Linked DNA regions of Alligator mississippiensis. The protein of the gene in region 2 interacts with the protein of the main gene of each other region in a pairwise test. Links are inferred from orthologs where the notes say so. Each region holds a gene or a part of one and is shown on either strand. Other genes may lie near its edges. The genes, in order: ZGPAT, TFIP11, TXLNA and KIFC3.

The links.
Region 1: the proteins of TFIP11 (region 2) and ZGPAT interact in binary tests that used the Homo sapiens proteins (3 or more experiments, as listed by UniProt). The two-hybrid records come from large-scale screens. The link is inferred for Alligator mississippiensis from reciprocal best matches to the Homo sapiens genes TFIP11 and ZGPAT.
Region 3: the proteins of TFIP11 (region 2) and TXLNA interact in binary tests that used the Homo sapiens proteins (3 or more experiments, as listed by UniProt). The two-hybrid records come from large-scale screens. The link is inferred for Alligator mississippiensis from reciprocal best matches to the Homo sapiens genes TFIP11 and TXLNA.
Region 4: the proteins of TFIP11 (region 2) and KIFC3 interact in binary tests that used the Homo sapiens proteins (3 or more experiments, as listed by UniProt). The link is inferred for Alligator mississippiensis from reciprocal best matches to the Homo sapiens genes TFIP11 and KIFC3.

The regions. Positions count from the first base shown.
Region 1 is NC_081832.1:2,435,969-2,443,669, forward strand, and holds the start of ZGPAT (zinc finger CCCH-type with G patch domain-containing protein), read left to right. Parts: upstream 1-4,688; 5' UTR 4,689-4,777; exon of another isoform or gene 4,778-4,796; intron 4,797-5,319; 5' UTR 5,320-5,483; coding exon 5,484-6,136; intron 6,137-6,748; coding exon 6,749-6,882; intron 6,883-7,701. Other genes in the region: ARFRP1 (ADP-ribosylation factor-related protein 1), read right to left, coding at 607-688, 1,684-1,766, 2,266-2,353, 3,289-3,381. UniProt on the Homo sapiens protein: Transcription repressor that specifically binds the 5'-GGAG[GA]A[GA]A-3' consensus sequence. Represses transcription by recruiting the chromatin multiprotein complex NuRD to target promoters.
Region 2 is NC_081833.1:1,409,741-1,417,082, forward strand, and holds the start of TFIP11 (tuftelin-interacting protein 11), read left to right. Parts: upstream 1-4,329; 5' UTR 4,330-4,433; intron 4,434-4,612; 5' UTR 4,613-4,618; coding exon 4,619-4,815; intron 4,816-6,882; coding exon 6,883-7,039; intron 7,040-7,342. Other genes in the region: TPST2 (protein-tyrosine sulfotransferase 2), read left to right, coding at 1-388, 1,333-1,531, 1,911-1,961, 2,420-2,458. UniProt on the Homo sapiens protein: Involved in pre-mRNA splicing, specifically in spliceosome disassembly during late-stage splicing events. Intron turnover seems to proceed through reactions in two lariat-intron associated complexes termed Intron Large (IL) and Intron Small (IS).
Region 3 is NC_081829.1:5,547,924-5,555,353, forward strand, and holds the start of TXLNA (alpha-taxilin), read left to right. Parts: upstream 1-4,428; 5' UTR 4,429-4,622; intron 4,623-4,898; 5' UTR 4,899-4,930; coding exon 4,931-5,123; intron 5,124-6,050; coding exon 6,051-6,386; intron 6,387-7,368; coding exon 7,369-7,430. UniProt on the Homo sapiens protein: May be involved in intracellular vesicle traffic and potentially in calcium-dependent exocytosis in neuroendocrine cells.
Region 4 is NC_081833.1:38,415,545-38,422,496, reverse strand, and holds the start of KIFC3 (kinesin-like protein KIFC3), read left to right. Parts: upstream 1-3,942; 5' UTR 3,943-4,058; intron 4,059-5,429; 5' UTR 5,430-5,547; intron 5,548-5,626; exon of another isoform or gene 5,627-5,947; intron 5,948-6,952. UniProt on the Homo sapiens protein: Minus-end microtubule-dependent motor protein. Involved in apically targeted transport. Required for zonula adherens maintenance.

The DNA.
Region 1 (7,701 bases), on a different chromosome or scaffold from region 2:
CTTGAGCAAGTACATGCAGCACACAAGGTGAATTGACAGGGCTAGCCAACTGGGAGCCCACGAGCTTCATCCAGCCTGTGGGTTCCCACTCGACCACCACTCCCTCCATTATTTCTGTTGACACAGCAGGTCTTTGGAGGACAGCAGCATGGCAAAAGGCCCTATAAGCTTGTTGCCTATGCAGCATGGGGTAGGGGAGATTGTGCTGCCACTTGGTAGTGGCAAGGGAGTGAGCTCATGAGGCAGTGATGGGGGTGGGGTTGCCCAAATAGCAATGGTGGTACCAGGAGAGGAGGGAAAGCAGGCTCGTGCTGCTTGCGCAGTGGGGAAGGGAGGGGGAACCCTATCTGAGCAGCAGGGGTTCTGGAAACCTACATAGGGCATGGCCCCTGCAGCATGCTGCCTGCGCAATGTGTAGCCCAGGGCTCATGATCAGTGTGGCATGTGGACCCTGGCAACCCTGAAGCTAGAGCCTGGAGGTACAGATGCATGGTGATACAGGTAACAGAGCTGCAGAAACAAACTTGACTGAAATAATAGTTAAATTCCATAACATACATAGCCAACATCAGTAACAGAAACACAAAACCCAGAAAACATACTCACCAAAAGCTCTTTTAGATTCTGACAGTCTCTCCTCATCCGTGGAATCGATAATATAGATGACCCCATGGGATTCAGCATAGTACTGAAATCATAGTAGAGGTCAACGTCTAATGCTTAGAGCAGTTTGCTTCTCTTCCTATTTTTTACGTGAATTCTGTAAAGTTTCTGATACACATGGAAAAGTCTGACTGAGATCAAACCACTAGTGTCAGGCATGTTGTGAACAGTTTCGCAGATCTCTGTGGACAGAGTTGGTAACTGTTCCTCTATCCCAATGATTCACTATTTGCCATAGTGGGCCACGCTTGCAGCTTTCAATGTGGCACGTGGACTGCTCCCACACAACTTACTTCCTGTGTATCCATTTAACAAGATGTCACATGGGCCGCAGCAGTGTGCTGATTGGGCCGCATGAGGCCTGTGGGTGGAGAACCACTGCTCTATCCAGACAGGTAAGATACGTTATTAGCTCTTCCTGATAACTAGAATTCAGCAGCAATCTCAGTCTGTAAGTCTCCTTATTATTCCATTGCCAAAGACCCTTGTAACCAGAGTCTGGCAGGGGCGTTCAATTGCTTGGCTGTTTTCTGATTTGCGCACTTGGGCTACACAGATGCATGGAATTCCTTTAAAGTGTCAGAAAAGAAACCTAAGCAGTGACCTCCCTGACACCATCTTTAACAGTCGCAGCCAGGATGCAGTGGCTTTTAAAGTCTAGGGCAATACATGCTAATCAAGCTGTTTGTTAAATATCAGCGTGGAGCAGGCAGGGATACATTTACTATCAGACAAGTACAACCAACAGTACTAGTGGCTCAGGTGGCCGTTTCCTCCATTTGTTATAAAAAGATGCTAATTCTGTTACCTGCTCTCCCCTGAGGGCTGAGAGACTTGATCAATTAGGGTTGTAAAGCGCTGTGAAAGGCTTAAGTAATGCTATTGATCTCTCAAACAGATTAATTGCACAGGGATCAGTGCTATATATCAGGGTTCACCAAGAACCCTGTAGAGTCACCTCGTTTCCCCGCAACTCTAAAGAAACACAGAACCCTGGAATATAAAAGTTACTTCCTCTACCTTGTCCCAGAGAGACTGCAACTCGTCCTGCCCTCCAAGATCCCAGAACATTAGCCGGACTTTGCCCACATCAATAGTGCCAACTAGAGGAGGGAAAGCAACAAAAATATTCAATGAATACTTTGATCATCCTCTAAAGCAGCTTAACATATGCACACAAAATGAAAGGACAAATGAAAAGTTCATCTAGAAAAAAAAATGACACTCTATTTCATCGGTATTTCTCAACATGATAGCCACAACTAACATTAGTATAATTTCACCTTTCTATAAAGTAAATAAAAACAGTCAGTGAAGCTATGCCAGTTTAAATGAGATCTGAATCAGGTCTACTAATTTCAGTGGAGCTGTAGGACTGAATTGGCTTAGGTATGGTAAAACATGACATTCGTTCCTTCAGATTCAGCAAGTTTTTGCCATCTGCTCTTAAAAGAATGCATGAAGAACTGGGAGGTGATGGAAGTATCTCTGTTAACACGCACTATTTTCACTGTGTAACCTTTTCCTAAATACTTCAAGAAAAGATCAATTTCATGCAACTTTGCAGGAAGGGAAAAAGAGCCTCCAAACCAATTCACTTACTGTTTAAGCCTACAGTAGTCGTAATTTTGGATAAGCTCATCCCCTTGTAGTTCCTGTTAAATCGGATTTTAGTTTGCTCAAGGAAGGTCTGAAAGGATAAAGAAAAACTAGTTACTGTCACGTACTTTATTGGTAAGGGTGATTCTATCCAGATCTGCCTTCCCCCTACTAGAAACCATCAGGATTCTCCATGAAATCTTAGAATACAGGCAGTCCTTAGACTTACGACACAACTGGTTCCTGAAAACCACATCTTAAGTCAAAACGTTGCAACTCGGAACCGATTTTCCCATAGGAAGCGATGTTATAAATGGGGGATTCGTTCCTAAACCAAGTCCCAATACCCTATTTTCACCAAAAATACCCCAGAATTTTGTACTTGATCAATTATAGATGAGTAATATAGCTACATTGATGTATTTATATTGTAAATAACAATCCTATTGATTTGGAAGGACTACTTTGAGGAGCCTTTGCTGGACGTTTTGAAGGGCTCTTGGCTGGAGTCTTCTCAGCAGTCCTGGCTGCAGGTTTTTCTGGAGTCTCGTCTGCTTTCTTAAAGAAAGTGTCCAAGGAAGTTTGGACAGATGTTCTCCAGGAGGGTGGGTGACGCAGCAAACTGGTTTGCTGGCGTGGCTTGGCATCAGATCAAGTGTTGTAAAGTCGAAACCGTCAGAAAGTTGAAACAGCGTGTCAATTTATAAACGTAAGTGCGGTTCGTTGCAACTAGAAACGCTGTAAGTTGAGGACGGCCTGTATAATACTTGCCTTGTTTTCCCTGTCATACCACAGAACCCCACACGCGTTCCCAGGTGATTATGTGCTTATCAAAGCCTCTGCGTGAGTCTGTCTGAAGGCTTACTGCACTAAAATTGGGGGGGGGGGGGGGGGGAATCCATCCTTGACGTTACATCACTGAAGTAACACCAAGGAAGAAACTTGCCTGTACTCCACCTTTGCAGGGGAGGAAAAAGTGGAACTGCACGTGCCATCTAGACAGAGAGAGAAATGAAAAGCACGTACCGTTTTACCAGCATTGTCCAACCCCAGGATCAAGACGCAGTATTCATCTCTCTGGAATATGTACTTATAAAGTCCAGACAGCAGCGTATACATCCTGCTCCTGCAATAAAAAAACAACAAGTCAGATCCTGCCGTACGGTTTTATCTGCTGTTGGTTAATCATACAGGGTTTTCATTCCCGTTCTTAGCAAAGGGAGCGAGCTGGGTTGAAGGCCAAGCGAGACAAAGCGTTGGCTGGGACGATGTGGACGAGGCTGGTCCTGCTTGGAGCAGGGGATGGAGCAAGACTGAGCAACGCGAGCTCAAGCAGTCTCGCTTCTCATGTATTTGGCACCTACGACCGAGGGCCGACCAGCTCTCGCCTGCACCCCGAAAGCGGCCGGCTTTTCACCCGCACCGTGCTGAATCGTTTGAAAATCTTGCCACGTATTTGACCGCCTGAACAGCAGCGGAGCAGTCCCACGCGTACGCAAACCCCTCCACATCCTGGGCTGCCCGTTGCCACGCCAACGCCGGTAACCGCTGCGGGGTCCCTCTCGCCGTGCGCATCAAGGCGCGGCAGGCGATCCGCGCGCGGCTCCGCCGGCGCCCGGCTGCAAGTCGTGGACAACGAGGGCTTCGGGCCAGCCCCGACTGCATCGCCCCAGGCCCGGCTTCATCTACCCGGGTCTTAACCCCATTGTCCGCCCAGTGCCGTTACGCTGAGAAAAACGACCCCCAAAAATGCGTCTTTGTGACGCCTGAAGACGAACGATCGTTATTTCTGCACAAACGCACGCGCTCCGTATGAATCGTAACCGCGGAGCCCGAGATGGGCTTCTTTTTGTCATAATGGAGTGAAAAGGTCCAGATTTTTTTGGTGGTTTTTTTTCCTTATTTCCAGGTATGGTGCGGAGCTGAGGCCTAACCCCGGCGCGGAGCCCCCCGCCCCTCTGGGTCGCTCGCCCGGGGCTGCCCACCCTCCTCGTGGGGCAGTTTCTCCTCATGTCCCGCCCCTTGCCCAGGCACCTGCCGCCAGCGAGAAGCGGCGCCCGCAGCTACGAGGCTCCCGGCGTCGGAGCACAGAAGCCGGCTGCTCACGGCCTCCCCCCGCTGGACCCTTGGAAGCCGGGACAGCGAATGCGCTGGGAGGGGGGGGGGGGGAGGCCCCGACTCCCCTCAGAGCAGGCCCTCCAGTCTCGCCTCACCTCAGCGAAGCCCCGGAGGGGAAGCAACAACCTCCCCGCGGGGCGCGCTGGGAGCTGTAGTCCGCCCGCGGAAAGCGCCCCGGCGGGCACAGCGGGAGCGGGTAGGCGAGCGGACTACAACTCCCGGCGTGCTTCGCGCGCGCAGCTCTTCTTCCCCCTCCTCACCCACCTCACCTCAGGCGCCATTGGAGGAGAGGCGGGAGGACTGCCCTCCCCCGCCAAGATGGCGGGCGGAAGTGACGTCTGACCTGCGGTGCGGAGGAGAGGAAGTCCCGCGGGGGTGTCATGGCGGCGAGGAATGAGTGAGGCCGGTGTCGTGGGGTCAGTTCTGGGCGGGGGGGCAGTCACCATCTCCATGGTTACCAGCCTCCCCCAGCCCCGTTGGTCAACGATCTCCATGGTTACCAGCCCCAGTGGGGTGGGGGGGCAGATGCTGGGTGCCCCATTTGCGGGGATGCTGAGTGGGGCGGGGGGATGGCTTCTTTGTGCCCCCCCAGCAGGCTGGGCTGGGCACGGAGCGGGTCAGGATGCGACCCTGCTGGAGTAACGGGTGGTGAGGGGACGCGGCGTGGGAGCAAAGCCTGGGGGCTAACAGCCGGGCCGCGGGGTGGAAGGGTGCGCGAGGGGGGCTGCCGTCTTCTCCGCGCGTCTCCTCGCGGTGGGATTCTCGGAGCCGGCCGACAAGGCGTCCCGTGCACGGGTGTGCGCGGGCCGGCTCTGCCAGGTCGGCGGTGTGAGACGCGGTCGTGGCGGTCTCCGCCGTGAGCCCCGGGATCGGTCGCGGCGGGGACCTTTCCCGGGCGTCCTGGCGGTAACGCTGCTTTCAAATCTCCGTTCCCTGCAGCGTGATTCGTCCGGTCGCGCCGAAGGGAAGACGACGCGCGATGGCCGAGGAGACCGACGGCTAGTCTGGACAGAGATTCGCTGTCGTCGTCCTTGAGCGTGTGCTGATTTCCCGCCCACCCCCCCAAAAAGGGACCCGGCGAGACGGCTTTATACTTGACAGCGATGGATGAAGAGAGTCTGGAAGCGGCGATTCAAACCTACAATGCCCAGCTGAAGCAGGTCGAGCTGGCTTTAGGGGCAGGGCTGGACCCCTCGCAACAATCTGACTTGATCCAGCTGCAGGAGGATTTAAAACAGCTGATAGAATTGACCGAATCCAGCCTGGTCTCTGTTAAAAAGAGCAAACTATTCGCCACTTTAGACCCTGCTGCTCCCTCCGCCTCTCCAGCAGATCACCTGAAGCAGGACGCTAACCCGGGCAGTTCTTCCTATGATGACGAATATGCTGCTTTTAAAGAAGCTATCGCTGAAGCTGGTGGCAAGGACAGGCCTTCGAGTACTCGGGATGAGGTTTCTCCAAAGAAAGATGGAGAGGCTGACGGGGAAAATGAATCGAAGTACAGTGATGAAGAGGAAGAGTTTGGGAGAGAGGAAGAGGAGGAGGAGGAGGAGGAAATGAGTGGGATGAAGGTTAAAGCCCCATATTACAGTTCCTGGGGCACTCTGGAGTACCACAACGCTATGATTGTGGGGACAGAATATTTGGAAGATGGCAGCGCGGGAGTCAGAGTGCTGTATCTCTATCCAACTCACAAGTCCTTGAAGCCGTGTCCGTTCTTCTTGGACGGGAAATGCAGATTTAAAGAGAATTGTCGGTAAAGAAGCTGATTTCCTTTGTGTTGCTAGATGGTAATTAAAGGCACTGTCAGCTAAGGGGGTAATCTCTGATTTAAACACTTTATCTTATTTGGCTTTTGAAATCTGCCCCAACTTTGCCAAACGGTTTTTTTATGTTTGACAGTGTCGTCCTTTTACTATCCTATGTCAAACAATGAGAGCGTTCCTTCTTCTTCTAACCCAAGGAGAAAATGGAAACTCCTTTAAGTGAAAACTGCAAGGAAGGGGTTAATTCTAATATAATGGACAGCTAAATACATTCTTGCTAATGAGGAAGACAAAACTGGGGGGGGAGGGGGGGAGGAACGGGACACCTCAGTAATTTTGTATGTAGCTCCTGCATTTTGTCCTGAAAGATCTGTTTTGCCACATCTGTTGCTGCAGGTGTTATTGTTGATGACCAGTGAGATGCAGCCACTTCCGAAATGGACTACAACATTTATTTTATGATATTGAAACCATTTGGGGGGATGCACCTTTTTATAATTTCTGGTGTGGATTTAGCAATGCCCATGCCCCTTTGAAGGAAGAAACTTTGTCTAGGCTTATTTTCAGATGAGGGCAGATCTCATCGCTTCTCTTTCTTGCAGGTTTTCCCATGGGCAAGTGGTATTGGTGGAAGAACTTCGTCCATTTGAAGAACCTGACCTCAGTTCTATGGAGGTGGGTTCGGCCTGTTTGGCTAAACATAATGATGGAATATGGTATGCTGCGAAAATCACTGGTGAGTCTTGTTTTAATATATTTTAGCCAGGTTGGAAGGTGACCTGAGGTCCTGTAGTTAAAATAGAAGGATTAAACTCTTCGTGATCAAACAGAACCAAGGAGGGATGTGGGTAAAGTGCAGACCTGGGAGTTTTGAGATGAATAAATTCATCTCCCATCTGTGCCACAAACTTGGGATGCAAGAGATGTTGTGTTGCTTAATTCGCTAATATTTGTAAAGTGCCTTGTGAGCCTGTAAGGGAGGGGCTTTAAAGTAAAAAAGGTGAAGGAGCAAAAGCTGGAAAGTAGGGAAGACTGGAGAAAAGGGGAACAGCAGGCAAAAAAAAAAAAAAAAAGGCATAGAAATGAAAATGTGCATAGAAGAAGGAAAGAATGAATCAGTTAGATGGTCAGTAAATTGTCCTTGTGTCCCTTACCCCCTATTCAGCGTTGTTCAAATATTCTAAGCACCTGGTCAAATACGGAAGTTAGACACTTGGAACAACTCGCTATTGTTTTAAGTGAGCACCAAATTAAACACAGCCAAGAAAATTTGGCCTCTTGCCTGCTCGCTGAGGGGAATGTTAGGCTGAAGTGCTTTAACATGCGAAGTGGGGCCATTTCTTCACTCTCTTTCATCTTGAAGCAGCAGCAGAGGACTGGAGGATGCCTTTAACTTTGCCTGACTTACAGCATTTCTGCAGTGCCCCATACCCATTCTTCATTCTAAGAATAAACAGCTGAGTCTATCTGGGTTTAGCTGGCTATAGATGTGAGTGGCGTTTTTTCCTTTTTTTTAACTAGAAACCCAGCATAGCAAAAGCAGACAGTGAGGAGA
Region 2 (7,342 bases):
CCCGCTACCTCTGCAACAAAGACCCCTTCACCCTCAAGTCCTCCGTCTACCTCTCCCGCCTCTTCCCCAACTCCAAGTTCCTGCTGATGGTGCGGGACGGCCGGGCCTCCGTGCACTCCATGATCACGCGCAAGGTCACCATCGCCGGCTTCGACCTCAGCAGCTACCGGGACTGCCTGACCAAGTGGAACAAGGCCATCGAGGTCATGTACTCCCAGTGCCAGGAGATCGGGCGCTCCCGCTGCCTGCCCGTTTACTACGAGCAGCTGGTGCTGCACCCGGAGCAGTCCCTGCAGGCCATCATGCAGTTCCTGGGCATCGCCTGGAGCGATGCCATGCTGCACCACGAGGACCTGATCGGGAAGCCTGGCGGTGTCTCCCTGTCCAAGTGAGTCCCTGCAGCTAGAGATGAGGTTATGCCTGCACCCTTAGCAGGGGGCTGCCGTGACCTGGCTGTTGCAACCTGGCTGCAGCCAACTGGGAAGGGGAGGAGCCCGTCTCAATCATCCCCTGATTGTGAAATAAAGCATCTTGTGCACCCGAGTGCATGCATACACACACACACGCACGTGTGTGCATACGTGTGCACTCCCTCGCTGTGCTCCAGAGAGCTGCTGTCTGCAGCCGCTGGAACGCTCCCTCCCGCTGCGGGTTGTTAGTTCTCACCTGCTCCAGCCAGCACTGACCGTAGCCCGTGGGGACTGGCCGGGAGGTCTCTGCGCCTGTTCCCTTCTGGCTCTGGGCATCCAACATGGGCTGCACCTGTTCCCAGCGAAGCCTGCGCAGGGGTGCTTCCAAGCTTGGCATTTTTTAGCCCAACCAGGGTCCTCCCACCCGGCGCTGCATGGGCCACGACTCAAGCTGGTGATGCCTGAAGCAGCGTTTTTGGCGTGTTAGATATTTAGGGTGTGGTGTCCTCAGTCCCAATGGGCATGGTGCTGAATCCCTCCTGCGGGGTGGAGACAGAAAACCACTGAAAGGTTGCACGAACGATGGGCCCTAGGCAGGGATCGGAGGTCCCACCAAGCAGGGTGGGACGTGTGGCTCCTGCTCCCAGGGCTGGCCCAGCTCCAGGCCTGTAGCTGCGCTGCCATGTAGCCGGTCTGTAGTAAAGCCCTCCTGCGGGGCAAGCCTGGCTAGGGGCTGGGGCAGGGCAGCCCCCCATGAGATGCATCCATGTCCCTGAGCTCCGTCACGGCCTCTCGTGAAGCTTCAGGTCTCTTGTTTTTGAGCAAGTCCTCCCAGGGGATGCAGAGCCCACTAGTCTAGCAGGACACAGACCCCAGCCCGCTCCAGCATCCCGGTGAGTGAGTGCCTGACCTTTTCCCCCAGGATCGAGAGGTCCACGGACCAGGTCATCAAGCCTGTGAACTTGGAGGCGCTGTCCAAGTGGATCGGGCACATCCCAGGCGACGTGGTGCAGGACATGGCCCACATCGCGCCCATGCTGGCCAGGTTGGGCTACGACCCCTACGCCAACCCCCCCAACTACGGCAGCCCGGACCCCCTGGTGATCAACAACACGCACCGGGTGAGTGCGGGGTCCCCTGCGCGGGGTGGGGCGGGCTGCGGTCGGGCTTGGGGCCACGAAGGACTGGAGACAACAAGAGCCAGGTGAAAGGCTGAGACTTTAATGCGCTTTCCTAAGTCCCTGGGGGGAGAAGGGGTCTCGGCTGGCCAGGATCCAGGCAGCTGGGGGCAAACCCTGCATCTTGGCTGAACTAGCCCTGCCACCACGCCAGCTGTTGGCCTCGGGGACGCACTCCAGGTGCCCCGTGTTAAACTGCTGGTGCTCGTGTCTGGCGTGGGCGCCCAGGGATGAGCCGGGTGGTGACCGAGGCAGAGAGGGGCGGTGAGTAGCCCCCAGCCCAAGGCCACGGGGAGTCACTCCGGCTTTGCTTCTCTTGCAGGTCCTGAAGGGAGATTTCAAAGTGCCGGCTAATCTGAAAGGGCATCTGCAGGTAAGAGCCGGCGGCAACGAGAGCGCTGTGGGTGGGTGTGCCGCGCGCCGTGCAGGCAGCAGCTCCATGCTGGCAGCTGCTAGGAGAAGCCCCTTGTCAATCCTGCTTGCATCTCTTCCCCCTCTGCCACGCGGATTGCAGCCTCCCAACCCTCCGAATCCTTTTGCCGTGCCCAGCCTGCATGCTAACCCCGCTGCCACCCCTCCAGCACTGCCCTCGCTCGCAGCTCTGGGCTTGCCTTCGCGAGTCTGCATTCATCCCCCCCACCCTGCTGTCCCAAAACCTGTGCTGTGCCCACACGACCGTGCTGTGGTCAGGACCCGAGCTGGCACGGGGATCTCTGTGCGGTGCTGGTTCCTGCCCCGTGGACCACTGGCATCCCCTGGTTGTCTCGCTTTGTCGGTGCAGAGGGGCTGTCTGGGGCCGAGCTAACTCTCGTCTGTCTTGGGTTGTTCCAGGTGCCTCAGAACACGTCGGAGCCTCACTCGCTGACTTAATGATTTCCAGGTAAGGGGTTGTGCTCCGGGTGTAATTGTGCTTCCTCCCGGTGTGCAACATGCACTAAGATCTCTTCCCTGGGGGCACCTGCATGCTGCAGCCTTCAGAGACTTCAGCAACATTAGAAACGTCTTGCATGTGGGATTGATGGGGCTTGGGTCAGCACCAAGTAGGGAGAGGTGATGTCCAGGTCTTGGATCTCGCTAACAAGGTGCTTGAAGTAGCTGTGGGTTTGAAGAGTGGACCCCGCGGTCACTATGTTCAGCGTCTCATCCCTAACGCTTCGCGTCTCTTCTGTTTCAGGAGGCTGCACGTGGCCTTTCAGCGTCCAGCAGAGAAGACAGTTTGCAGTTGCAAAAGTGGAAATCTGTTATCCAAGCATATTGCTTGCTAATATTGCCAAAATAGGACTGCTACACAAGGAATGTATTTGCATTTATTTGCAAAGGCCAAACATGACACACATCGGATACCAGTTGTCTACCTTCTCTGAATGCTCTGTGGTAAAGAGGAAAATCCTGGGAGACGAGTTTCCTGGCTGGAACTTCAGAGCGCGTTGGAAAGAGATTCGCCCATTCGGTTACTTGAGGACTTTTTAAAGTTGTATTTAAAACTGTCTCGTCATTCTGTTCTTCTGTTTGCAAACCGGGAATAGGTGTCGATAACCTCGTAGAGCATTGGTCGTACAAGTGACAATCGGAGACCTGCCTTCTGTCGTTCCTTCACTTGTAATTTACAGAATCTATTTAAAAATTAATATATGAGGCCATCTGTTTCATTCCTGGCTCCGCTCCGTTCATTTCCTGCGGTGATTAAACACTGTTTCCAGACGAAAGGGCGTGTCATCATCGTTTGCGCTAATGATGCGAGGAAGGGCGTTCGCGGGCTGGAACGAAGGGCTGCGGACACGGGAAGGATGCGGGGCCCGTGGGTGCGTGGGAGGGCCTGGGGGCTCTGACATGGGTGGCAGACAGACCTGCCAGCCTGGGGCAGGTGCTTCAACCCCGCGGATGTGCCGTCGCTGACCCGAGGGGTGCAGTTCTCCAGCAGCAAGTGTTTAAATACCGATTTGAATGAGAAACGGTGGCATGAGGAATCCCTCCCTCCCCCTTCACAGTGCTGGGGAAGTGAGCTACAGCTGAAAGCTTGTGCTGTGTGCGTGTGTGTGTGCGGGCAGTCGTTTTGGGCGGAGGGCTGCTTACTGAGGCTTGGCAAGCCATCGAGGGCTGCACCGACAGGCAGCCAGGGAAGATAAAAAATTTAGAAAATCAATATTTAGGGGCCCGGCAGACCGTGTTTTGCCCACCCCGATACGTGTGTGTGCATATGCATAGTGTGTGTGGGTACATGCGTAATGTGTATGTGTACGCGATACATGTTTATGTGTGTGTGCATACGTAATCATAGTGTGCGTGCATGCATGTCATGTGTGCATGTATGTAATATGTGCATATGCATAATGTGCGTGTGTACACAATAGGGGTGTGTGTGTGCATGCATAATCATAGTGTGCATATGCATATAGTGTGTGTGTACATGCGTGTGCATGTATGCAGCGTGTGTACACGTCATGTCCGTGTGTTCATAATGAGTGTGTATACATGTGTAGGCTTAATTCATGTGTGAGTGTATACATCGTGCGTGCATACATACACCGGGTGGGTGTACATATGTGCATTTACCTGTGTGTGTAGATACATAATGCACGTGTGTGTGAAGTTAGAGAGAAAAAGTGTGTGTGTGTGTGGGGGGGGGGGTGCAGACCTCCCAGCCTCCACCCCACCCTCCCAACCATAGAGAAGTCCGCCGAGGCGGACAGCCGGCCGTGCCGCTCTGCCCCACCCCCTCACTCTATGCTCCGCGGCGCGGGCTTCCGGGCAGGCGCTGGCGCATGCGCTCGCGACCCCGGAAGGACATCCGGCCGCTTCCTGCTTCCGGTACAAGCTGTAGCTCCGCTTCCTGGTTCGGGGAGCGGTGAGTGCTGGGGGGGGGGCGGGTTTGGGGGAGAAGAGGTGAGTGGGGGAGGGGCTGGGGGAATGGGGTGGGGGGAAGGGCTGGGAAGGAAAAGGGGTCGGGGGGGCAGGAGTGGGGGTGCCTGCACCTGCCTCTCTGGCCCCCCCGCCACCAGCTCTGATGCCGGCGCGCCCCGGCAGGCCGCCATGTCCATGTCGCACCTGTACGGGCAGGATGAGGAGGGCGAGGTGGAGATGGAGAGCTTCGAGATCACGGACTGGGACCTGCAGAACGAGTTCAACCCCAACCGCCAGCGGCACCGGCAGACCAAGGAGGAGGCCACCTACGGCATCTGGGCCGAGCGCGACTCCGACGACGAGCGGCCCAGCTTCGGCGGCAAGCGGTACGGGCGGCTCCTCGCTGCTCGCGGGGTGACCGGAGCCGTCGTCTCCGAGCAGATCTTCGCTGGCCGCCGTCCACGGGCTCGACTCGTTTGGGGCCGGCGTGGTCTGCTTGGTGTTCCCTTCCCGATCCCTCGTTGTTAGCTCGTGACCGCGCTCCTTTCCTTGCTTGCTGCTTATTTGTCCCCCAAAGTCGGTTATGTTTCCAGTTGCCCCCGCTTTTAAGGGAGGTTTCTAGTGTTTCCTTGTGAGTGTAAGCCCGCACGTCCCCCACGGCGTAACAAACAGGGCCTTGTCAGGCAGCAGACGCTGAACGGGAGAGTGAACAGGGGAGGACCAGGGGTTTTTCCCTCCCTGTTCCTCTCCCCCCTGCAGCCGCCAGCATTTAAGGTCTAGGAAGGTCTGATTCAGGGGTTGTATCCCTCACTCCCATATTCAACAGCTACTGACGCCCCTTTCCTCCAGGAATGTCCCCCAGCCCGTTTTGAATTCGCTTCTGGTGGCGACAAGTTCCACGCTTCAGTGACATGTTGGGTGAAAACATTTTGTTTTGTTCTTTCTAAACTTAATGCCTACTCGTTTCATTTTGTGACCCCTAGCTTTTGTATCGTGAGAGAGAGTAGATAATAAATCCCCCTCCCCCTCTGCGCGACACTGGTCAGGCCGCAGCTGGAGTACTGCGTCCAGTTCTGGGCGCCGCACGTCAGGAGGGATGTGGACAGCATGGAGAGGGTCCAGAGGAGGCCACCCACATGATCCGGGGACAGCAGGGCAGGCCCTACAATGAGAGGCTATGGGACCTGAACCTGTTCAGCCTCCACAAGAGAAGGCTGAGGGGGGACCTGGTGACCGTCTGTAAACTCCCTAGGGGGGACCAGAAGAGTTTGGGGGAGACCTTGTTTCCCCGAGCGCCCCCCCGGGATAACAAGGAATAACGGCCACAAGTTGTTGGAGAGTAGGTTCAGATTAGACATCCGTAGGAACTACTTCACAGTCAGGGTGGCTAGGATCTGGAACCAACTTCCAAGGGAAGTGGTGCTGGCTCCTACCCTGGGGGGCTTTAAGAAGCAGCTCGATGCCTACCTGGCTGGGGTCACTTAAGCCCAGTTTCCCTCCTGCCCAGGCAGGGGTCGGACTCGAAGATCTACAAGGTCCCTTCCGACCTGACTTCTGTGATTCTATGAATCCCTATTGGCTTTCACTTTGGCATTTAGTTGTAAACCCTTGTCCTGTGCTCCCCTTTAGGGTTTCTCTTTCTAAACTGAACAGGCTTGGCCTCTTTAGTATCTCCTTACACAGAAGCCCCTCCATAGCTCTCAACATCCTTGCTGCCTGTGTCTGGACCTTTTCTAGTTTTTCTGCATCCTTTTGTGGTGTGGGGACCAGAACTGGGCGCAGCATTCAAGGTGCAGCATGGACTTATAAAGAGCATTCAACATGCACCATGGATTTATAAAGAGACATGATGATACTTTCAGTTCCGTTAATAATTCCCTTAATAAAGTAACTCCATCCTCTCCCTGCTGGCCTGAAAGGAACCGCGGGAGAGTTCTCTCGTCAGCCCCGGGGGTTCTGCGACTTAAGTCTTGTGTCACCACCAGGGAGCCATTGGCAACATGACACCTAGAGCGTAGTGCAGAAAGGTGCTCTCTCAAGCACGTAGAGGTGGTAAACGACGTGCTGGCTGTGGTTTGTGTAAGAGAAGGGAGGGATTGGAATCTCATACAGGGTTTTTCAAAAGCTACATAACCTGGGTTGTCCATACATGGTGTTCACTTCCCTCAGCAGTTGGCTTAGTGCCTAGGTAGAGTTTGGGATAGAGATGATTGTTTTTCAAGGCTGAAGTTTGCTAAAACAAAAAATGCGAGGTCCTTTTCAGAACGCAGATTTTCCTTCATAAATTCAAACTTCCTGCATTTCAAATACCGGCTTTGTAGCTCCATATCGTAACATTAAGAGGGAACTGCTTGCGAGGGTGTCTCTGACTGTGTTCCAGCTGCTGCCCCAGTGGAAGAGCTCTGACGCACGCAGTTCTAAAAATGCCTCTTTAACGTGATTTCCTTATACAGATCTCGAGACTACTCAGCCCCTGTCAATTTTATCAGCGCCGGGCTGCGAAAGCCTGCAGCAGAGGAGGAGGTGGAAGATGACTCGGACGAGGATGATGAGAAACCTATTAAGCAGGAAGAATTGCCCAAGGAGGTTGTACCAAAGAAGTTAAAAACGGTGAGTTATTCTTAAAATGAGCAACCCTGTTAAAGATGTTCGTGTAGCCCCCGTCACAGGAGCATCTAGGTGTTAGGATATTAAATCAGCAGATGAAAAAAAGAATGATGCTGTCATGCTGCCCACAGGTCTGTGATTTCATCCTCTGCTGTGGAGGCAGTTTCCCCTCACTTTTGTGCATTTGATGGGTTGATGGGCCTTCCTGGCCCTTGCAAGGTTTGCCCCTTTGTGAGTGTTCTTGCAGAGGAGATTGAAGTTATAACAAATTAAGGGGCTGCATTTTGTTTCCATCCTTTCAGCTGT
Region 3 (7,430 bases), on a different chromosome or scaffold from region 2:
TTGTATGAAATGAGCCGATGGTTGGTTTAAAAAAAAAAAAAAAAAGGCACCAAGTAGCCCATCTCCCACTCTTCTTGCCTTCTCCCTGCAAGGCAGGATTAACCCTGATGAAAATTTGCTAGCGCCTGTCTTTTGCTGCTCCTTGACTAACTGGCAGGCTTGCTATTGTGTTCCAGCACCACTGTCTTTTCCTTTCTGGCATCCAGGCTTCCATCTCTGGTGGCCAATACAGATGTTATAAATGATGCATCTGTTGCCACCTGGCAATCTTTTCTTCTTCCAGCTAAACTTGGGAGAAGGGCATCACCTTTTTTGCTCTCTTGTGAATTGCAACTCTGGGTTTGGGGCTGGGGAACAGGCTTGGCTTTGAGAAAGCTGTTCCTTGCAGAGTGCAGGAGAACCTGACCTGCATAGCAACCTTTGTTGGTTCTTGGCATCACTTTAGGTGAGCCTTCCCCAGGCCCCAAGGTCCCTGTTTGGGGGTGTGCCATTTGATAGAGATATGTATATTTTTTTAACATTCACTTTTTTCCTGTGTTCAAACTACTTCAGTTTCATTTTCTTGGCTCACACAAGTGCCATGTGGATCTAGAAGAGGTGTTGAGGCTCAGCCATACATCTTATGGATCTGCTTTGAACAATCACTTTTATCAGTATTTCACTGCCATGCAATGGTGGCACTAGACTATGCTAACACATTCAGTTGACCTCAATGCTACTTGGGTGCTGTCAGCAACCTGAGCATCTTAAATCCTCTATTTCTACTGGCTTTTTTTATTTCAAATGTATATCCTCTGGGGCTGCTAGCCTGTAGTTGCTTGCTGGCACTTTCCAGGCTGTCTTGCCCCTACATAGACCATGATGCTCAATTCTGTAACTCTTTCAGGTAAATACATATGGTACCCAGTGGATGCTTGATATCAAGTCTGGCTTCATCATTCAGCTAGCAGAGGGACTTTTGACCACTGGGGCTGGTGAGGTTGTCTTTTTTTTCCTCCTGTTACCTAGAGGAAAAAGCTCTGTAACCCAGAGAGAAGGCTGTACGGGCATAGAAGATACTGGGGGTTGCTTGAGGATCCTTCCTCAAACTGATGCATTGTTTTTCCAACTAAGTGCTTTTGTTGTTGGCGCTCTAGTATTTAATACTTGACCATGGCAGAAAACAGACAATTGCACCTCCTTGAAGCGTTTGATTAAAGCTTAATCTGTACAAACGATGCTGGGTCCCTTGCCTTGGTTTCCTGCCATGATCTCTTCTGCACGTGTCATAACTTGAAGGACTCTTGAGTTTTAGTTCTCAAATCCTGCCTCAGCCTCTCCTCTTCAACAGTTCCTCAGACAGCACAGCCTTTTTTCCCAGCAGTTGTTGGCTTTGCCTGACATTCTGGCAGTCCAGTCTGCATTCGTGAATGTTCGGGCCTTCTTTACAAGGGGTGGCAATGACCACTACAGCCACTGTGTTTTGAACTGAGTCCCAAAATGTGATGGGATTATAACACTATAGCTGTCAAACTTTGAAAGATATAGTGAGGCAAAGGTCTAGGCATAAGGACTAATCTGAATTTTGCCATTTGTCCTAGATTTAGACCAGTCTGGCTTTAATTTGATCCCATATTAACCTACGTTAGGGAAAGCCATGCTAGTATGGTGCACTTATCAACAAAATACTTCTCTTGATTGGTCTTCAAAGGAATTTGAGTTGGGAAATTGGAAGACTCAGTGCTGCTTGGTAGGAACCATTCTGCCCTTTGACTAATGCAGCAAGTGAAGGTTTTTCCTCCCTGAAGTTTTGTCAGCTTGTCTTGGGATGTACGTGCTGCAATCTTTCTGTCTGTTTGCTATTCTAGAAGCACAGCAGCCCGTGTGCAGTAATGCAAAGCAGTCCTAGCACTGAGCTTGCACTCTTGATGGCAGTCTCCTTCTGAAAATGTAATTGCATCTGGCTGTCATCTAAGTGATGAGTGGGGTGGCTGGGGTTAGAGGCTGCTGATTCATACGAGAGCAGTCCCTTTGGACTGACTCATGAAGAGCCATTTAAGTGCACAACATCCCAGACTACTTGCGTCTCCAACTGTGCATGTTGGAAACCACTAGAATTTAGCCTAGAGCTCTGAATAGCTTTCATCTTCTGGCCCTTTGTAAAGCTGAGTCATAATTAGTATCAAAGACTAGGTTTGGGTCTAAGATTTCTTTCTTTAGCACATGGAGTGGGGTGTTTCATTCCCTAGGTTTAGCACAGGGTTTCAGCTTGGATCCAGGAGGGTTCACATCACACCCCCCCTCTCCCCAATCCATTAAGATTTGACCCTTGTTCTTGTCCCATACAATACAGATCACTGTATTCAGAATATGCAGTTGCTGTTGGCAAAAGAGCTGGTGCAGTAACTTCAAGAGACCCTTCCCTGTGAAGCGGGCTGAGCCCTTTGTTGAAGGACAACCTGTAAGCGATAGTAGAACTTAGATGTGCAGTAATATTTGGGTTCTTGCTTTCCTCATTGTCTATGCAATTGGTGTGGGAATAAATGAAGGGTAACTCATCAACAGCATAGGGCCTTTCATCAACAGTCTGTTTTCCAGACCAATCTGGTGAAATATTTTTCTTTTTTCTTTTCTTTTCTTTTTTTTTTTTTTTTAAATAAGAATGGGACTTTTGCAAACAGTGCTGTGGCCGTTGGCAAACTGTGAATTGGGATTTTCTTTTGGGGGGGAGGGGGAGGGGTGGAAACCAGATCAGACCAGTAGCTACTGTAACACTGGCTAGAAAAAGATTCACTGAAGTGTGAATGGCGCTTTGGAAACCTTTTGTCTCCTGGATCCTTCACAGAAAAGAAGCTGGAGACTTGTCCTTTTTTTGTGTTTTTTTTTTTTTTTTTTTTTTTTTTTAAGAAGCAACCAGTTACAAACCCCATGAATGGTACTTATGTACTTATATTCTGTTACGTAAGTGCATGTCAGAGCATTAAACCACACATGGCCACACCCTGGAGTGGAGCTGGTGAGAGATTCTTTTTTTAAGTTTATTTTTCATTTACTAACCAGCTCATGTATGGGTTGCATTATAGAGCTGCGAGCACGTGTGGCAAAAGCAAGGGCAGTGGTAAGTTGTGGTTGCGGTACAGCGTTCAGACACCTGAATGCAGGACTTCCTGTAGCCACTGCAGTATCTTAAGGCTTTTTTTTTTTTTCTTCTTCTCCGAGTAAGGATTTTTTTTTATTTATTTATTTTTTTTAAATGAAGCCAAATACTATGGTTCTCTTCAGTGAGTCCCCCTTTAAAGCTACGGCATAGCTGTACCATGGTGGATTGAGAGGATGCCCACCCGACTCTAGAACAGACTAGCCGGCTTGATATGGAGTTGAAAGTGTGTTTCTCTTAGGTTTCCAACACTGTAACAGATGCAACATAAATAAAGAACCTGTTCCACAATCCCGGATACTGGGCGACTCTGGATTCTTTTATGAAACTTTGGGCATCGCCCCTGTGCCAGCGGGGGCCCGGGCTAAAGCCTGTCTATGTACACGGGGAACTTACCTGGGAATGGATTGGCAGAGGTGTGTGTGATTAATGTCCAAACAGAAGGGGTGAAACAGGCCTCGGCCTCTGCTTTCTTTAAACCTAAGCAGTAGCTGTACATGCCGGTCCTTCGTGCCAATAAACCGCAGTGTCCAGCTAGTGGGCTGCTCCCGCCGTCTCCGGCCCCACGGGGAAGGGATAAGTCCAATAACGCCGCCATCTTCAGACCCTCCCTTCCTTCCCCCAGCCCAGCCAAGCTTCGACCCTATCCCGCCTCGCTGTAGCTATGCAGAGGGAACGCTGCATACGTTTTATTTAATTTATTGGATTTAATGGGAGCGGCTCCACAGCTTTCCTGCGCGGGCCCTGGGGCAGGTGTTCATGTGAGAGCAGGATCCTGTAGAAGCCAGCTCCCACCTGGGTCCACGTTAAGCACTGATGATGTGGCAGGTGGGCTCTGCAGAGCTGCTCGGTTGTTTTTGGTACTGTGAGCTGAGTGCACCCGTGCCTGGACTCCAGGCTTTGTGTGATGTATGTAACGTGTGCCAGGCTGGTGCCATGCAGGCCTAGAGCTTGTTCAACAGGCTCTGCCTGCCTCCAGCTGTTGCCCCTGGTTCCCTGCCACGGGCCACGTCCTCCTGCTTAGCTGAGAACAGGGAGCTGCCCCTGCCCCAGAAGCTGCAGTGTGGGCCCCGGGGCCTGCTGGGAGCTGTAGTGCCGCCCTGTTTCCGGGGCACGCCGGGAGCTGTAGTGTTGCCGTGCCGCGGAGAACGCCGGGAGCTGTAGTGCGGCGCTGCCGCGGGGCCCGCCGGGAGTTGTAGTCGCGTCCTCCCGCCTCAACTGCCGCCTCCAACCGGCGTTTCCCGGCAGGCGCCGCGCGGCTTCGCGCGCGGATTGGCTGGCGGCGGGGCCGGCGCATGCGCACTCCACACACGCTCCGCGGCCCGGGCCGGAGCCGCTTCTCCGTCAGCTACGAACCGCGCCTAGGAAGCGGGGCCGCCGGGCGGGGGACGAGCTGTGGCGGCCTAGGAAGGGAGCGGGGCCCCTCGCTCGCTGGTTGACCGAACCCGGAGAGCCACGTCACACCTCGGGCCGGTGACGTCACGGGGTGCGTGTGTGATGTCACCGCGGCGCGGGGCCCGCAGCCCTGCGCGGGGGGTTGGGGATTGCAGCCGTTGGTGGGGGAGGGGAGGGGAAGGGGGGGTGCAGCTGGTGGGGGAGGGCCCCGGTGGCACCCCTCCCCCCCCGGGGCCCTGCGACGCGGGCACTCGGCCACGCTGGGGGGGGGGCCGGGGTGTCCCTGCGGCCGCCCCGGGCCCGGGCAGGCTGGGCACGGCCGCCCGAGTCCCGGGCGCGAAGGCAGCGGGTGCTCCTCTCTCCACAGGGCGCGTCGACACGGCGGGGAGAAGAGCCGCGATGAAGAACCAGGGCGGGGAGACCAAAGCCGTGGCGGCCCCGGCGAGCCCCTCCAAAGCCGGCGGTAGCGGCCTGGCGCCCGCCGAGGACGACTCGCCGGAGGCTGCTCCGCCCGCCGACGCCGGGGACTCGGCAGGCCAGCCCGACGGCAGTGCCGAGAGCCCGGCCAGCGAGACGCGGGAGAAGATGGAGGGTGCGTTTCTGCTCGGGCGGGCGGGCGGGCGGGCATCGTAGCTAACTCCTGTTTCCCCGTGTCAGGGAGGGATTAGGGTCAGGTTTGTGCATCCTAGGACATCCCGGACTACTGGCTGCATGCCTGGGATACGGGGGGAGACGGAGTCTCGTCCGGCTGTTGAGTGATTTTACTGTTATTGAGTTACTTATTACTCAAAGCCCTGGGACCTTCTGCACAAAGCTCCCCGTCTGCTCCTCTGTCCAGTCGTGTGAGCTGCCCCCGCCCTGAGCCAGGGCATCTGCCCCTCTCTCGGCGCGGTAAAGGTTACCCCTCCGCCCGGGGAAGCCCTGTCGAGTCAGCTCAGTGCTCGGTTGAATCGAGGCCTGCCTCCTGCTCCGATGGCTAGCAAACGCGGGATCTGATGAGTCACGTTAACTTAATAGCTGAAGATCCATTTGCCAACGGCTGCCAGTCCTCAGGAGATCTGGTCTGAGCTGTGTTGATGTCCGCTGTCAAGGCAGCACGTAGCGGCTGTCTCTGACCTACGTCCGATCCCAGATCATTAGTATTATTAAAATGTCAGGCCGGGGGGCGTACATTACCAGGCTGTGCCTGCGAAGGAAAACCGCTGCTGCGCTTGTTTCCATCAAGCAAGTGGAAGTTTTGCCACCGACAGATTTTGGCAGCCTGGTCATGCCACCAAGATGAAAAGAGGGTGGTGCATCTCTGCGGTCAGGGCAGCTGCACAGTGATACAGATGTTCCCCGACGTCGGAACAAAGCGGCTGATGCAGCTGGAAGTGGAGCTGGCGCTGGGAAGGGCTGTTACGTGCTTAGGAAGCTCTTCCCCTTCTCTGCTTGTAGGGGGTTGGCAGAGGCATGCTTAGAGGATGGGGATTGTGAGGGTAGGTGTCACATGCTCGTTCTCTTCTCCCATCTCCCGCAGCTTCTGGACAGGAGGAAGCAAAGGGCTCCCAGCCTGCCATCTGTGATGTCTCTGAGGAGTTGAGCAGGCAACTGGAGGACATCCTCAACACGTACTGCGTGGATGCCAGCCAGGAGGGCCCCGGGGATGACGGGGGGCAGAACGAGCCTGCAGAGCCTGATGAGGCAGAGAAGTGCCGGAGCGAATCTCCACGCAACGGGGAGCAGGAGCCAGGCTGCCCAGAAATTAACGGGGAGAAGGAGGGCTCGAAGGGGCCCGAGGAGTTCCGGACCGGTGACGAGTGTGGGGAGCGGGACCAGAAACGGACCCAGGAGAAGAAGAAAGCCAAGGGGCTTGGTAGGGGCTCTGACCTCAGGGTCAGCCAGCCTGGGGGACGGGGCATTTCACCTCTGCTGGTTTAGCAGCTAAATCCAGGGGGACAGGGCTCCTACCCAGTCCCTGCATGATAGCATCCATGTCTGTGTACACATCCCCTATGGTGAAGCCACAGACCAGTGCTAAAAATTCTGTGTTCCCTTAGTACCAGGGTGGATGTGTACAGCAGCGTGCACACACAGAGTGAAGCTTGTCCCCCTGCTTTCTGTAGGTGCCTGCTCTATGCAATAAAAGGGTGCAGGTCAGATCCTGCCAAATAAAGACTGCCAATACTTCTTGCGCTTGATTATGCAAGTACAGTAAATTGCATTATGTATGTGTTGGCAATGAAGGATATTTCTGGACATCCGCCCAGACAGGGTTAGCATGTAGAGCGAGTGTTCAGTTGCCTGTCTAATTTGCACCTACGTGGCATGACTCTAACATGGAGTTGTACGTGAAATTGCCTGCTAAGCCTCTTTTCCCTGCCATGGTTGGGGAGGGGGTGGTTAGAGAGTAGGCATGGATGTGGGAGTCCAGGACGTCTGGAGTTCTTTGCCCAGCTGCCCATGTAACCTGGTGCAGGTAGCACACAGACCACTTGCCCTGCCTTCTCACTGGGTCTCTGCTGATCTCCCTCACTGTTATATGAGCACCTCAGCTCTAACATAATTATCCTCACTAATCCTGTATGGATGGAGAGTGAAGGCACAAAGACTTAGTGGCTTGCCGTGGGTTACCCAGGAAGTTGGTGGTGTCTCAGGGAGTTTAACCCAGGTTTATTGAGTCCATTGTCCAAGAAGACCACTTCAGCCACCGTCTTAGTCACCCAAGGCACAAATGTCTTCGGGAAACTTTTACTAGCTGCTTGCCTCAGGGCAGGGGTTCTGCTCAGGCTCCGCCTCTATGCCTTGGGACTGGGAGCTCTGTCTGAAATGGATTTTTGCTTTGTCCTGTGTTCCAGGCAAGGAGATCACACTGCTGATGCAGACACTGAACACACTGAGCACCCCGGAGGAGAAGCTG
Region 4 (6,952 bases), about 37 Mb from region 2:
TGGTAAAGACAGCAATGATGAGGCACAGGAGAACCAGGTCAACTGTATGCTGATGGGCAGGGCTGTCTCGGGGGGGCAAATCAGGGCAACCACCCCAGGACCTGTGCTTTGGGGGGCCCTGCAGAGCTGGGCAGAGCGGCAGCTCCCCACCCACCTGCTCGCTATCCCCCACCCTGAACTGCTGATGCCGGCAGTGTCTTTGGGCCTGGGGCTCATGGGATCGGAGCGGGAGCAGGGCCCCACATGGCCTGATTTGCCCCAGGCCCTGCACCTTGCTTGGGTCAGCTCTGCTGATGGGTATGGTTTTGAGGCTGGATTCATCATGGCTGACTGAAAGCAGCTGCAGGGCAGGTGTGTGGATCCCATAGGGAATTTGCCTGGTACAGGAGCTCCTGACTCCAGGCACGGAGCCAGCTTTCTCAGCTCTGCACAGTCCTATGCCAAAGTCCTAGAAGGTGAGGGACAGTGTTGAGTGGTAGACTAGAAGCAGGAAGGAGGCTGGAAGGCAGGAGTAAGAATTACCTACATTGCAGCAGTTCTCTTTTATTGTAAACTCCCCTGGGGTCAATGCAGCAGGGACATGATACAGGGCTGCCCTATACAAGGAGCTGCATTGGCTCTTGCAGCCACTGAGCAAGGGAACTAAAAGTAAGCTTGGCTCTGCCCTGCAGCAGAGAGAAAATCTATCCTGGTTGTTCAAAAAAAGAACAAATGTTCTCTTTGCCCTTTCAGGGCACATGGCTATATGTCTTTTCTCTCTTCGTTTTCCTCAGTGCCTTTTCCACTGGTGTCCATTGTACTTCTCAACAGCAAAAGTTAAAAGGGAGAAGAGGAAGGGTGGGAACCACATTCCTCTAAGGCAGGGGTGGGCAAAATGCGGCCCGAGGGCTGGATGCAGCCCACCAAGCCATTCTATCCGGCCCACAGGGCCCCTAAAAAATTTAGAAAATTAATATTTATCTGCCCTGGGTTGCCTGTCATGTGGCCCGCGATGGCTTGCTAAAACTCAGTAAGAGGCCCTCTGTCCAAAATAATTGCCCACCCCTGCTCTAAGGTCAGATTTATGCTATAAACTTTTGCTATGTTGGTCAGGAGTCTGATGAGATCTGATTTGTGACCAAATTGCCACACTACAAGGGCAAGTGTAGATGCAGTTATACTGGTAAAACTGGATTTTACCAACAGCTTATTTCTCTTTCTGGAAGGGTAAGGAGCTATAAACTAAGCCATCAAAAAGCATGGTTTTGCACATGGGTGACTGGTGCCTCCTGAGTTTGGTAGGGGCACCAGCAAGCTGATCACTGGTGGCAAAACTGGAAGTGTTGCTGGCACTTTTCTCAGTGCCCCAACTCCCCGGCTGGCACCAATCTCCCAATCTTGGGGGGGACACCAGCTGGTGCGTTTCTTGGCGCCCCCACTCCCCAGTCAGTGAGGGCCAATCTTAGGGGTTGCATATGCTTCCTCGTGTTCCCCCTACACATTGCCTATGAGTATAAGCTGTGTCAGATATACTATCCCAGCAAAGCAGGATAGTTATACTGGCAAAGTTAGCTAAAAGTAGACCTGCCTTTAGTAAATTACTAGTTCCAGGGATTTTTTTCTAAGCCACCTGCAATGCATTACTTATGTTGTAATTGTAGGAAGAAACTACATGAATGTTATTTTAAAGTCACTTTTTGCCCCTCTACAAGCAAATGTAGAACTAGTAATTTATTACTCCTGCAATTTGTGGAAAAGGGAAGGACTAGTATGTGGTTAAAGTATAGGACTGGGAATAGGCTCTTTGGATTTTACTTTCAACTCTGCTATAAACATGTGATGACACATGCATCACTATTCCCCTTTCTTTTGCATTTGCTTCCCCATCTGAATCTATAAAATAGGTATTTGGTCTTGCTTAAGGTTGGCAAAATGCCTTGAGATTCTCAGATCTAAGGTGCCATCGATGTGCAAAGTATTGCAATGTATTGGGTCATTGTCAAGTAAAAAGTATACTGTGTTAAAAATCCCTCATCTGTTTTACTTACTAATTTGAGATTGTGAAAAATTCAGATGCTTGGACTAGGGTTGGCAAGATGGTCATTTGACTGATTAAACATTGTCAACTGACCAGTCAACTGACTACATATTTTTGACCCATCAAAGATTATAGCAATTTTACATCCCCCCCCCACACTTTTGTAGCTTTTTTGACAGAAATATGATTTTTTACAATTGGATCTTTTTTTACACATTTCTTAATGGAAAATTTGTGCATTTCTGTGTGTTATTTGGACCTATTAGCAATTTTTTTTACAATTTTTGACTGATATTTGACTGGTCAGTTGACTGAACTTTATTTGATCCGTCAAATACCCACCCTACCATGCATGGCTATCCTGAGTAAGTAAAACAGTTGACAGGGAGTAAGGCATACCTGTTTGTTTTGTTGGTTTTTTGCTCTCTTGGGGAATAAAGAGAGTGAAAGGAATAAGACTTGTGGGGAAATACATAGTTTCGCGGGAGCTCTGCAGGTTGAGTTTTGCTGGGAGCTGTTGACTTCAGCAGATTTGACTTTTGGAATGTGCATCAGAGAGGCACTTAGTGACAGGCAATGGGGTTTTCTGGCTACCTGTATAAAGCAAAATGATAATCAAATGCAGAGTAGCCTACCCTGGCTGCCGCACACTGGAACCATAGAACCCATGGGCAGATCTAGAATTTTGGAAAGCGAGGCAGAGATGGTGACATTCACCATAACATATAAAACAACACACATTTTCTTCCAGGTAAAAATATACAGGAAGCTCTACTAATATGCTGAAGGCCCCTAGGGCTATGTTATTTAGTTTAAGAATGAACAAAAAACACACAACTTCATTGGAAGGAGCCCAGAACCATCTGCAGTGCTGTGGAAAAGGGGCTTCCTTATATGGAGCAGCTAACAGACAAGGGAATAAAAGGATGGCTTGATGGGTGGAACATCAAGACAATTAAAAAGAGAGGGTGGTTAACACTGGGCTGAGAAGGGATCAGGTAGATAATGAGCCAGGAAGTCAACTGGCTCCCTCAGCACCAGGCGACTAGAAATGCTGCTGCCACTGCCAGGCAGCTGGTTTTAAACTCTGGGTTTAGCAGGAATCAAGGGAGGGGGGGGAGTTGCAACTGCACCAGTGCAGCACCCTCCTAGACCCCCAGACGCATAGGGTTGGCAGGGACCTGTGGGGGTCCTCTGAGCTGATGACAAGGAGTATTTTAAAATAATAAAAAAACAATAAGGATACTCCCACAGACAATCTTTCTTTGAGAGGTAAAGCATTTAGTAACAGCTCTCTGCCTTGGGTGTCGAGCTGCAGGAACAGAAGGAGCTCGAAGCTGCCTCCGGGAGGCCGCTCTTCAGTTTTCACTCGGTCTTCGGCTAGGGAAGAGCAAGGCTGAAGGCAGCCATGTTTCCGCTGCAGACCCAAGGGCCCTAGCGCTGGGCTTTTGTTTTTTAGCACTGAGCGTGGCTTCCTTTTTGAGACCTCTGTGTTCCCCTTGTGCCTCGCCTTTGCCCCCCTCGCAGCGCGGGGCGCCTCTGAAGGGGTCTCGGGGCACCCGCGGGCGAGGGTATTGCGCGGGGGGTCTTTCAAGTAACACTGGTGCATTATTAGAGCCTCTCAGCACGTGCGGCTGCGGCCGGGGCACAGCACAGCGGAGGCAGGAGGGCGCGTGCCGCGGTGGCCGCCAACGCCCAGGGACACGGGACCGGCAGTGGCCCCGGCCCGGCCCGGCCCGGCCCAGTCCGCCCGGGGGTGCGGTGCGGTGCGGTGCGGTGCGGCCGAGCGGTGGCTGCGCTGCGAGAAGCGGGTCGCCATAGCAACCGGCAGCGACTGGAGTCAGTCGTTTCCTGTGGAAAAGTGTCCGTGGGGGGAGCCGTCCCGCCCCGCCCCGCCCGGCTCGGCGCGGCGCTGACAGCGGGAGAAGGGGGCGGCTACGGCCGGGCGACCCGCGCGGCATCAGCCGCCGCCTCCCGCCCCAGCCGCGGCGGCGGGATCGCGGCCGCCGCCCTGCTCTCCGGCCCGGCCCCGCGGGCACAGGTCGGTGCGGTGCGGTGCGGTGCGGTGCGGGACGGGACGGGGCGGGGCGGTAGCAGGGGCGTTCCCCGCCCGGACAGTTCTCCTCATAGCCACTGCGCTGCCCCTGCCCGGGAGGTGTGGCAGTGCCTAGGTACCCGCCAGCCTGGCTTGGTCTCCGCTAGTTTGGGAGGCCTGGAGCAGAGCGCAGGGCTGCGGTGACCCCTTCTTTCATCTGATGCCCTTCATGCCGCCCCCCCCTTGCCAAGCCCCAGGCCTGTTTCTGTAGCTGTTCTGTTTGGCGGGTTCATCTTCAGGGCCGGGTCCCTCCTTCCACCCAGCGTTTGGGTTTAGAGGCAGAACAAAGCCTCCAGGCAGGGGCTGGGGGCACTAGGTGTCCAGGGCTGGTTCCCGGGTGCTTTCTCCACAGGGGACCCAGTGGGCAAGCTGCACAGGACACAGGTGGGCATGCTGGCAGTGTGCATTGATCCTGAGCCATCCCACTGAGGCCGGATACGAGTAAACCCTGCCAGTCCTTCATCATCAACCAGAGAATTTAAAAAGGGCTGTGCAGTGGGTGAAGCAGTCCTTCCCCGGCTGAGCGAGACTGGGGGCTAAAGAGGTCTGAGCATCTAAGGGCAGCTGCACCTCTTCGTGGATAAGACTTCTCTCTCGCTGACTCCCCTGCCTTCTTCCAACCTCTGTAGTGTTCGTTCTGTAGCCTGGCCTGATAATGCTCTGATTAAAGACACATAAGGCCAGCACCAAGTCAGATCACCAGCATCAAATGAGATTTAAATTGCAAGCATGTAAATTAGAGGGTATTCTGCTGAAGAGGAAACCAGTGCAAGATGCTCTCTCTGAATTACAACTGCATATTTTCAGTTGATTTATTTGTATTGTGATAACTCTTGAAGGCCTCTGCCAGGATCACAGCATAGTGTGGTAGAGAGCAGAGCTGGTAAAAGCCTGATGTTTGTTTCTTGGTCCTTGTGCTTGGTGATGCGCAGATTCGTAGGAAGGCTGCTGGTTCATCTTGTCATAGGAACACGCTCCCTCCCCAACCCAGGGGCAGTGGATGATCTCTGCCCTGAATAACTCATGATCTAAGAAGTTATTAAACCAAATTTTAGTAGTGAAAGAAGCTGGAAATAAGAGAGGAATTACTGGGTGAATGATGAGCACAGTGTGTGTAAAATCTGTTTTTCAGTATTTCTTGTAATAAATCCCTAGCATTAAATCTGGATAGTTGCAAGATGGTTTGGGGTTAGGGTTGAGTTTGCGGCACTGCTGTTTGCATAACCTGCTGGAGTATTTCACCTTGGACTGTTACCTTTCTTCAGCTGGTATTTGATCCAGTACTGACCCCAAACCTTTCTTTGCACTGATTCCCAGGCCCTGAGGTGCCGGTCTGCTTGGGAACCCTATGCCATGATTACATCTTGCGAGACCTGGGATTGGAGACTCAATCTCTCAGAGAGAGACCTGTGGAAAAAGGACCTCCCTCTAGACGGTGAGTATCATGCAATGGCTCATCCTCCTTCCATGCCCGGCCCACTCCTGCTCCTGCCCTTTCTCACACTCTGGCAAGGAGAGACTTGAAAACCAGTGAGTCCACATTTCTGACATTGTTTTTCAGATGTCAGAGATGAAACTAAGATTTGGGGAAACTGATTCCCATACAAATGTAGGCTGTTAGGTAACAACAGGATTCAGCTGATAAAGGTGCTGCTGTGCTGAGGGTGCTGCCCTCTCTTCTAATGAGAAGCCTTGGGAGAAAAGTTAAATTTTAACACGTGAAAGAAATGATTATCTGTGATTTGTACAACAAAAAAACACGTGGCTTCTGGTCGTCCTTCATCTCGGCTCCTTGGAAGGGTGTGTTGTCTCCCAACCGCATATAAACCAAATAGGTAAGTTTAGTTTTTGTGTGGTGTTCCACAGGGACTGAAATGTTTTCAAAAAGCAGCTGAAAGAACTGAAAGCTGCTTGTTGAAACCTGCCGCTGCTTGTCTGGGGTTCCACACAGCTAGCGCTGTTGTCTCATGCTAGTCTCGGACTTCAGGGTCACTGTGGGGCTAAATGCTAATGCCAGGCTTCTGGAAGAGATATTTTTGATGGGAAACTTACTGTTTGCTCTGATATTTTAAGTTCTTAAGCTTTGGCAGTAGCTTATCTGACAGTTGTACCTGCTTTGATATAGAAAGGTTGTTTTAACTCTTGCCGACCATAAAAATATGTTTGAGAGGCAGGGCAGTTGCGGGGGTGGAGGGGTTGAAAATGCATTTTTTCTCATTTCCTCACTGACCTTTCTGCATTCCTTTGGTATTAGGTGGACAGGATGGTGGGTATTGAGGAACAGAAAGGTGGAGAGTGGATGTTGTGTGTGATTAAAATCTGGCTATGTCCTGCTTGGTGCTGAAATAATAAGGCATACTATTTGCATATACACATCACTAGTCATCCTACGATCCACAAGTTCTTTTGAAAACATTAGTTCTTTTTCACTGTATGAAATATCATTGTTCCTATATACAGACAGTTAAAGAAACATAGTGAGAGATGAAGTGATTTAGCAGAAATTATCCATCTGTCTCTGCCCTTACAGCTTTTGTCACCTTTAGTCTCTTGAGTGCTTTTCAATTACAGTATTTAAAAACCAAAACTGTAACAAGAGTCTCTCTCTGTTACTTTCCCAATTACAAAATAAATTACTTTGATTAATTGATGGTAGGGGGTTGTGTATTCATGATGGAGATGAACTGATCAAGGAAAATCTAAATCAAAGAGAGAGTTTTGCATTTAGTTCTGAACGTTTTATTTATTTATTTTCCAGAAACTGGTTCCGAAGTGCAGGTTTTGTTCCTCTCACTTACAAGTTTTCCTCTGCTGGCTGGTGTATTAATTGTCTGAATGCG